Linked DNA regions of Canis lupus familiaris. The protein of the gene in region 1 interacts with the protein of each later gene in a biochemical or structural test. Links are inferred from orthologs where the notes say so. Each region holds a gene or a part of one and is shown on either strand. Other genes may lie near its edges.

Region 1 (4,176 bases):
CTACTCACCAGTTAGAATGGCTAAAAGACAAAAGATCATAGGTAATGTTGCCAAAGACGCGGAGTAACTGAAACTCTCATATGCTGCTAGTAGGACTATAAAATGGCACAATCACTTTGGAAAGTAGGTTGGCCCTTTCTTAATAAGTTAAATATACACCTATAATTGGACTTAGTCATTCTATTCCTAGACATTTATACCCAAGACAAATTAAAGCATATGCACACAAAGCATATTCATGCAAAAACTTGCACACAAACACTATCAGCTTTATTTTTAATAGGCAAATCCGGAAATAACCTAAATGTCATCAACAAGTGACTGGATACACACGCTGTGTATATTCCTATAATGAACGCTACTCAGCAATAAAAAAAAAAATTAGCTATTGATAGGCAACTGTGGCATCAACAGCAGGATAATCTCAAGACAGTTGTGTGAGAGGAAGGAGCCATACCAAAAAAAAATAAATAAAATAAAATAAAATAAAACAAAACAAAACAAAACAAAACAAAATAAAATAAAATAAAATAAAGTAAAATAAAATAAAATAAAACAAAATAAAATAAAGTAAAATAAAAAAGAAAGAAAAAAAAGAAAAAGAGAGGTACATACTGTATGATTCCATGTATTTAAAATTCTGAAAAATGCAAACTAATGTACAGTAATAGAAAGCAGATTAGTGGTTGCCTGGAGAGAGAGAGAGTGGGAGAGTGATACATGGAAGGATTACAAAGAGGCAGGGGAACCTTTTGGAGGTGACGGGTATGTTGGAGGTGACGGGTAGGTAGATGGTGGTGATAATTTCCTGCGTGTACACACACATCAAAATTCTGCACTCTAAACTTGCGTGGCTTATCGCATGTCACATACATCTCGGTAAAGATACTTAAAAACGTAGGCATTGGCCCACTACGTGATGGGCACACCGCGCGCCAGGTGAGATGCCCTCTCTCCAAGCCTCCCCACGAGCCGCCCAGGTTGGTGCCGCGGTCGCTCGCTCTCACTGACAGCGTCTGCAAGTCTTTTCCTGCGGTGTAGACAGGCTGATCGGGTTCCAAAGCCACGCGGCCGGTGAGCGGCAGCCTGGCCACCGAACTTGCGGTGGGAAGACACCTGTAGGAGGGGGACCCTGACTGAGGGGCGCTCTCACTGTCACCGTCCGCCTCCTCCTAGGCGGTTCAGACGTTCGCGCCTGCCGAGGTCCGAAAGGATGGAGGTGCCCTTACGCAGCGGCCCACCTGGGGGCCGTCAGGGATGCGGCGTGTCCCTCCTCCCGCCACCGGGGCCCCGTGCGCCGAATCCCAACGCTCCAACCGCTGCTGATAGACTGCTGCGGGATTTCTGGTTTTGTTTTGGGTTTTGGGTTTGTGTGTGTGTGTGTGTGTTTGGTTTGTCTTTCAGCCGCCCCAAGATCCTGTAGATGGAGTTGCCTGTGCTTAGGGGTGTCGGCTCTCCGACAGCGGAGCCTGGCCGGACTGCGGGGCGTCGCCCTTGCGGCCGCCGCTCCGGAGACAGGTGAGACTCGCGGCCTCCACCAGGGTCACGCCGCACCTTCGGGCTCCAGCTCCCCCGCCGTCCCGCGGCTGCTCAGCCCGGTGCGCGCCCCCCGTGCCCGCCCCCCGGCCTCCCCCCTGCACGCGGCTCCGCGGGGGCGTCGGGGAGGCGGGCCCGCACTTTCGAGCTCCTCTCCCCGGTGCTGGCGGGTGTCCCGCCGCGGACCCGAGCCGCCCAGCCCCGTGCGCCCCCCACTCCGCGCCCCCCCCGGCCTCCCCCCTGCACGCGGCTCCGCGGGGGCGTCGGGGAGGCGGGCCGGCACCTTCGGGCTCCTCTCCCCGGTGCTGGCGGGTGTCCCGCCGCGGACCCGAGGCCGCCCAGCCCCGTGCGCCCCCCACTCCGCGCCCCCCCCGGCCTCCCCCCTGCACGCGGCTCCGCGGGGGCGTCGGGGAGGCGGGCCGGCACCTTCGGGCTCCAGGTCCCGGTGCTGGCGGGTGTCCCGCCGCCGACCGGAGCCGCCCAGCCCGGTGCGCCCCCCCCCCCCCGCCCTGCACGCGGCTCCGCGGGGGCGTCGGGGAGGCGGGCCCGGGGACGCTCGCGAGGCGCTCGGGCGCGGCGCCCCCTGCCGGCGCCCTGCTGCCTCGCCCCGGATCCGGTCCGGGCGGCGCGGGGACTCCGGCCCGGGAGCCAGCGAGCGCGGGCGGGCAGGCGGGCAGGCGGGCAGGCGGGCGGCGCGGCGCGCTGCGGGCGAGCGGGCGCGTCCTGCAGGGGTAGGTGGGCCGCGGGCGCGGGCGCGGGCGCGGGCGGGCGCGGGCGGGGGTCGGCGCGGGGGCGGGGGCGGGGGCGGGGGCGGGGCGGGGGCGCGCGGCGGCGGGGGCGCGCGGCGGGGCTCGTGCCGGGGCGGCGGGCGCGGGGGGCGGGCGGGGAGCCTCAAGATGGCGCCCACCGCAGTCCCGCCCGCCGCAGCCCCGGCGCCTCTGCAGTCCGGCCGCGCCTCCCGGGCCCCGCGCTAGGGCCGCCGCCGCCGCCGCCGCCGCCCTCGCCGCCGCCGTAAGTCGCCCGGGGCCGGCCTCCCCGCGCTCCTCGCCCATCCCGCGCCGGGGGCTCTGCCGCAGGGCGCGCGGCGGGGTCGGGCTCGGGCTCGGGGCCGGGGCCGGGGTCGGGGCCGGGGTCGGGGTCGGGGTCGGGGCCGGGGTCGGGGCCGCCGCTGGCGGACGGCTGTTTGCGAGGCTCGCACCTCGGCCGTGCGTGCGGGTCGCCGCGGGGAGGTCGCGCCCGGGCCGCTCGGGGGGCGCTGGCCTCCCGCGGGCCCCTGCGGCGGTGCAGCCCCCCGGAGGCGGAGGCCGGGACCGGTCGGGGCCCCGCGGGCTCCCCGGGGAGGGCCTCGCTGTCGGGTCGGGGCCGCCCTGCCCCTCCCCCGCGCCCTGCCGCAGCCTCCCCCCCCCCCCCCCCCCCGGGCTCCGGGTCGTTACCGGCCGCAGCAGCCCGGGACTCCCCCTGCCCTTTCCTGGGGTGCGCCCGTCCCTGCCTGGCTGGGCGCTCTGGGGCGGTGCGGGGGGCCCCCGGGACCTTCCTGGGCAGGCCAGGATTCCTGCAGTGGGGAGCACATCACTTTCAGAATCCCCCCTTCCCCCACCCCCATCCCTACGCCACCCGATGCGGAGCTCGTTGCTCTCCTCCTTCCTCCCTCCCTTCCCCCCCCACCCCTGCCAGCAGCGCCCCGGGCTTCCTCGCGCTCGGCTTACAGGACTCCCAGCTGCAGAGACCTGGACCCCTCCTCTCTGGTTCCCACTTGGTCCCTGGGGGACCGCAGAGCCTCTGCATTTTTGCTTAGAGCTCAGCTCCATCCCTGCGGCAACCACCGGTGGAGACTTGGCTGTTAACTTTCCAGGGGGGGTGGGGGCTTAGCCGGGGCCTTCAGACCCCTGCGGAGGCCTCAGCTTAGAGGTCGGGTGTTGGGGGGTGGGGGGAGTGCGAATCATTTTTTGCAGTCTGACAAATAGGATTCTTCGAGCCATGCATTCCTTCCAACTACTCCACCCTGTGCCTGTGCCCGTGCCCTCTTCCTCACTTACATTGCAGTTTTTGAAACACGGGCGGGGGGGGGGGGGGGATGCATTTTATATCGGGAGATTCCAAGATTCTGGGCCTCAGGGTTCAGGATTAAAGGATGTCATCTGTTTGGGGAGAGGGGGGAGAAACTTGGCACTGCATCTGGCTAATTCAGGGAGAGGGAGAAATCATTAGCATGGAGCCAGCTCTGCCGCCCGAGGAAAATTCTTTTTAGTGCACGGCGGGCACCGGAGAAGCAGGAATGGAAGCAGGAAATGTGGGTGAGGGCTTTGGGAGCAAAGGGGGGAATAGTGCTTTTTATAACTATTTTCTCAAGTTTGAACCTGGAGAGCCTTCAGAGAGCTATCGATGTGTCAGGGCTGGGGGATGTTTTAGCTTTGCAAAAGAGATTTCGGGTGTGGTAGGCTTTCGCTGTTTCACCATCTCTCTGTACCTCTCTTTTCTCCCCGTGCATTAGAAGATAATGCGGGGTGAGGGGACTTTTTTTTCTTTCCTTCCCCCACCCCCCAATTTTTTTTTTTTTTGATGTGTAATGCAAATGGCTGGAGAACATTAGCATCCGGTACCATTCTGGTAGGAATCTCAGGGGAATCAGACTTAAACTGC
Region 2 (4,180 bases), on another chromosome or scaffold:
AATTTTGACATCTCAAAATGACTAGTAGATATTAGAAAACTCTAGCAGTGGGATAGTTATTACATTAAAAATTTTTTTGATAACTGATAACCAAGGGGTTAATTTTCTTTAAAATCGATTTCATCTCTCAATCCTCAACAATAGAAATCGATGGCTCTTTCTTTATGAGATAGTTTGCTGTCCCACGTAGTGGAGGTTGTAGTTTTAAATTTTTTGCATTAAAATGGAGTTTCTAAAAACATTTTTAAACTAAAACTTTTATGTCAGTTTTCCATAAAATGGAAATAAATTGCCATAACTTTAATTCATTTACTTAACAAGAGTGAGAGTGGTCAATTCTTCTTTTCTGAAATGCTCAGGTCACAAATATGTTGAAATGCCAATATTTGTTAGTTTGAGTCGTGAGTACACAGGAATTGTGATATTATTCTTTGTGGTAGCTTGTGTTATTTTATACATTGTATTTTTTCCCCAAATAAGATGAAATCTTTAGTTCTGCCTTAAATCTTCTGATTTTCTGAGAAAGTAGGAAGCTAGGTTTTATCCTGGTGAAATAGAAAATTTGTCCATTTTGTTAGGTTAGATGGTGGTGGCAGGTGACAAGGTTATATATTAGCACAGATGAGAAGGGAATGAAGGTGAATTCAATGTTAGATCAGTTAATGGGTGCAGAAACAAGCAATGAACTAGGGTAATCTAAGCAGAGTGCTTTCTGTTCATAAAAATTATTTAAAGATAATGGGTTGTCTGCCTAGAAAAGGTGCTAACTTTTTTCATATGACCCTCTCCAGCAAAATATAGCTTGCCGCCTAGATTTTAGTGGTTGTCTTTTTAATAGGCTGTTTCTATAAGTACATATTTGTCATATGCCTAGTCTATATTTTTCAAAGAGCACTTTAAGTAGAATTCAAATAATAACTAAAGGAACTTGAGTCTTCTTTAATGTTTTGGAGGCTTTCGATGCTGTTTTTGCAAATGTAAGTAAGGTGGAGCTCATTTTGGCTGGGAGGGGCGGTAATAAACTATTATTTCTCTTTAAACCCCTTCCCTCTCATGTATTTTCTAAGGTCTACTAATTAGAATGGTTAATTTTCCTTTTAAAAATGCACTTTTAACAGAAGACTCTGTTAGATGGCTCCAGGAGCCAGCAGCCCGCCGACTCATTCTGGGCAGAGGAAGGAGAGGGTCCAGGGCTGGGGCTGGGGCTGGGCTGGGGCTGGGGCTGGGGCTGGGGCTGGGGCTGGGGCTGGGTGCCGGCTAGGAGGGACTTCCAGGGGGAAAGTAGCGGAGAGACTGCAGTGACACTGCCCTCCCCGGGCGGGTTGAAGCATCTCACTGGTGACGGGTCTGAAAGCACGTGGCTACGTCATGGAAAGCCAGTCTTTTCAATGCAAACTTCAACTCCTCCTCCTCCTCCCTCTAATGCCTGTAACTCACATCCGAGGCTGGGCGAGGAATCCGGAGGGGAGCTTTTCCTCATGCTCACCGTTGTTGGAAACTGGGAGAGTGACAGGAAGGAGGAAGGGGATCTGTGGCGCTCTCTACCTACTACCAGCCTGACAAGGGGAGGGGGCACCTGGATTTGCATCTTTTCTTCGTGGTGATTGAGAACTGCAGGTTCAATCCGATCCCACTGAGCACTGGCGATTGATTATAAAAAAAAAAAAAATCGACACAGGGCGAAGGGAGGCTCTGTCTTCGGCTGTCAGACTCGATCTCGGAGGTGGTATTGGTGTGTGTGTGTGTGCTGGTGTTTTTTTTTTTTTTTCTTTTTTTTTTCTTCTTTCTTTCTTTCTTTCCTTTTTTTTTCTTCTCTCCTAGGGGCTACACAATGGCAGTCTTCTCTCAGTGAGATGAATCCTGCTTTGCCTTCTGCAGACCCACCCATCCTCATAGCGATCAAGTAAAAGGCTATGGTTTTCTCTTTGGGGATCTTTTGTGCATTACTGTTCTCTCTGATTAGTTCTGGTCTCTGTTGGGATTTCTTTGCTTTTTTGTTTGGCTTCATGCTGAAAAAGGATTTTTTTTCCAACCCTTTGGTAATAATCCAGTGGTGATCGAGGGGGATAAATCATTCACCCTGGCCGAAAAAAAACAATCACTGAGAAGTCTCAAAGAAATATACCACGTGAGGGGAAAAAACTGGGAGAAGATCCGGAATATTATCGTTTTTCCTATGGTAAAACCGGTGCCCCTCTTCAGGAGAACTGATTTCAAATTATTATTATGCAACCACAAGGATCTCTTCTTTCTCAGGGTGTCTAAGCTGCTGGATTGCTTTTCGCCCAAATCAATGTGGTTTCTTTGGAACATTTTCAGCAAAGGAACGCATATGCTGCAGTGTCTTTGTGGCAAGAGTCTTAAGAAAAACAAGAACCCAACTGGTAAGCAAAACATGCATCATGTTATGTTTTTCCTCATAATAACCTGTCTGTTGCTCACTGAGCTAGATCTGCAGTTCTGCTATGCAGGAAGGCAGGGGAAACAGAAAAGGAACCAGGACAGTGTTGCATATAGAGGTGTTGATGGATAAACAAGTAACAGCTGGATCGGCGTCTCTGAGCCCGAAAACCATGATCAGCATCTCTTGGCTGTGACACGATCCATCACTAGGAGGGAGGAGGAAACTTTTTTTTTTTTTTTTTAATGTATTTGGTTGCCTATGTTTGGTGAAATATTGAAGGGCTGTGGCTTAAGGTTTTGCCCGAGGCAGCTGAAGCTTCGGTAGTTGCCAGGAGAAAGACCCGCGAGCTCTCTTCACTCCTGCTGCAGGTTCAGGGACGTAGCTAGGTGCCGAGGACCTGCTCTAGACTTTCCGATTAGCTTGCACAATATTCGCCACCCCATCACCTTTACCAAAGTAGAAGAGGCCCTCTCCCTCGCGGCCCCGCTCCTCCGTCAGCCCCCGCCTCCCTCCCCCGTCTAGTTCTCGGTGCACGAGTATTAACTCATCCCCCGTCTGCCTCCGACACCTCCTGCCACTGGGAATACTTGAGCTGGGCTTATGCCCGGGGCAACCCCAGACGGAGAAGACGAGCCCAGTCCTTCTCATGTATGCAATTTGAAAGCCCCTTTTAAAAGGCAGTGTCAAGACCCTGCGCCCGAGTCCCACGGGTGGGACGAGCGGGGCGGTGGGTCCCAGCTTCAGGCTCCGGTGATCTTGCGTCCCTATTCCGTAAGCTCCAACCGGGAAACTTGCAGTGCATTACATAAGAAATGCAAATGCAGGTGATTCGGGGCGTCGAGTCCCGGGGGTTCACTTCCCGGTATCCCAAGCTGAGGCGTTTGGGGGCGGCCGCGAAGTTGTGGGCGAGCAACCGGGGGAGGCCAGGCCGGAGGGCTGCGTGGCAGCGGCGGCGCGCCGGCGAGGAGGCTGGGCGCAGCCAGTCTGCGAGGCGCGCGCGGGCAGCGGGGGTGCGCGGCGTCCCCGGGTCAGTTCAGGCTGGGGAGGGCCCGGGGGCCGGTGTTTGTGTCTGGGGCTGCGTTGGGGGGCGGGGGCGGGGCCCCGGGCGTCCCGCAGTGGCCGCCCGGGCGCCGGAGGCTCCTGACGTTGGCACTGCGGTGTAGTAGATCATGCCTCCCCGCGGCCGCCCTGACACCCCGAGCTCTGCCGGGGGCTGCGCTGGCGCCCGGAGCCCCGGCGGCCGGGCAGCAAGTGGCTGCTGCCCCCCAGCCTCGGAACCTAGCAAACGCAGCGTAGCTGGGGCGGCAGGCTGCGAGGGGGCCCTCCAGAGAGGGGGAGGACCAGGGAGGAGGAGGGAGTGGGAGGAGGAGGATGGGAGGTGCAGGGGGGAGGTAGGCGGGGATGGGGGTGGTGGGTGTGGAGGCTGAGCACCCAGTGAGGCCCCCACTGCTGCAGGAGTAGGGAAACTGCGAGTTGTTAGACCGTCCGGAAGGGCAGGTGCTCGCTTGTGGGCGGAGGACGCCTGGGCAGCGGCCCCAGCCGGGACGTTTGGGCGGCAGTGGATGCTCTGGGAGAGGTCTCCGCTGCCCGCGGGCACGCTGCTGCAGTGGGCTCCGGGGCTCTGCCCTGCAATTCTCGTCGCTGTGCTGTAGCTCTACCCCTCGCTCACCGTCCCCCTCCGTCCCCTCCTCCGCCTCCTCCCTCCCTGCTCCCCTCCCCCTCCGTCTCCTGTCCTTTTACCCTTCTCTCTCTCAACTCCTCAGCGTTTAGCAACTC

The links. The genes of interacting proteins can lie anywhere in the genome.
Region 2: the proteins of SCN8A (region 1) and FGF14 form a complex in vitro, tested with the Homo sapiens proteins (2 studies listed by BioGRID). The link is inferred for Canis lupus familiaris from reciprocal best matches to the Homo sapiens genes SCN8A and FGF14.

The regions. Positions count from the first base shown.
Region 1 is NC_049248.1:43,303,491-43,307,666, forward strand, and holds the start of SCN8A (sodium channel protein type 8 subunit alpha), read left to right. Parts: upstream 1-1,371; 5' UTR 1,372-1,518; intron 1,519-2,237; exon of another isoform or gene 2,238-2,267; intron 2,268-4,176. UniProt on the Homo sapiens protein: Pore-forming subunit of a voltage-gated sodium channel complex assuming opened or closed conformations in response to the voltage difference across membranes and through which sodium ions selectively pass along their electrochemical gradient.
Region 2 is NC_049243.1:52,137,885-52,142,064, reverse strand, and holds the start of FGF14 (fibroblast growth factor 14), read left to right. Parts: upstream 1-1,375; 5' UTR 1,376-2,176; coding exon 2,177-2,384; intron 2,385-4,180. UniProt on the Homo sapiens protein: Probably involved in nervous system development and function.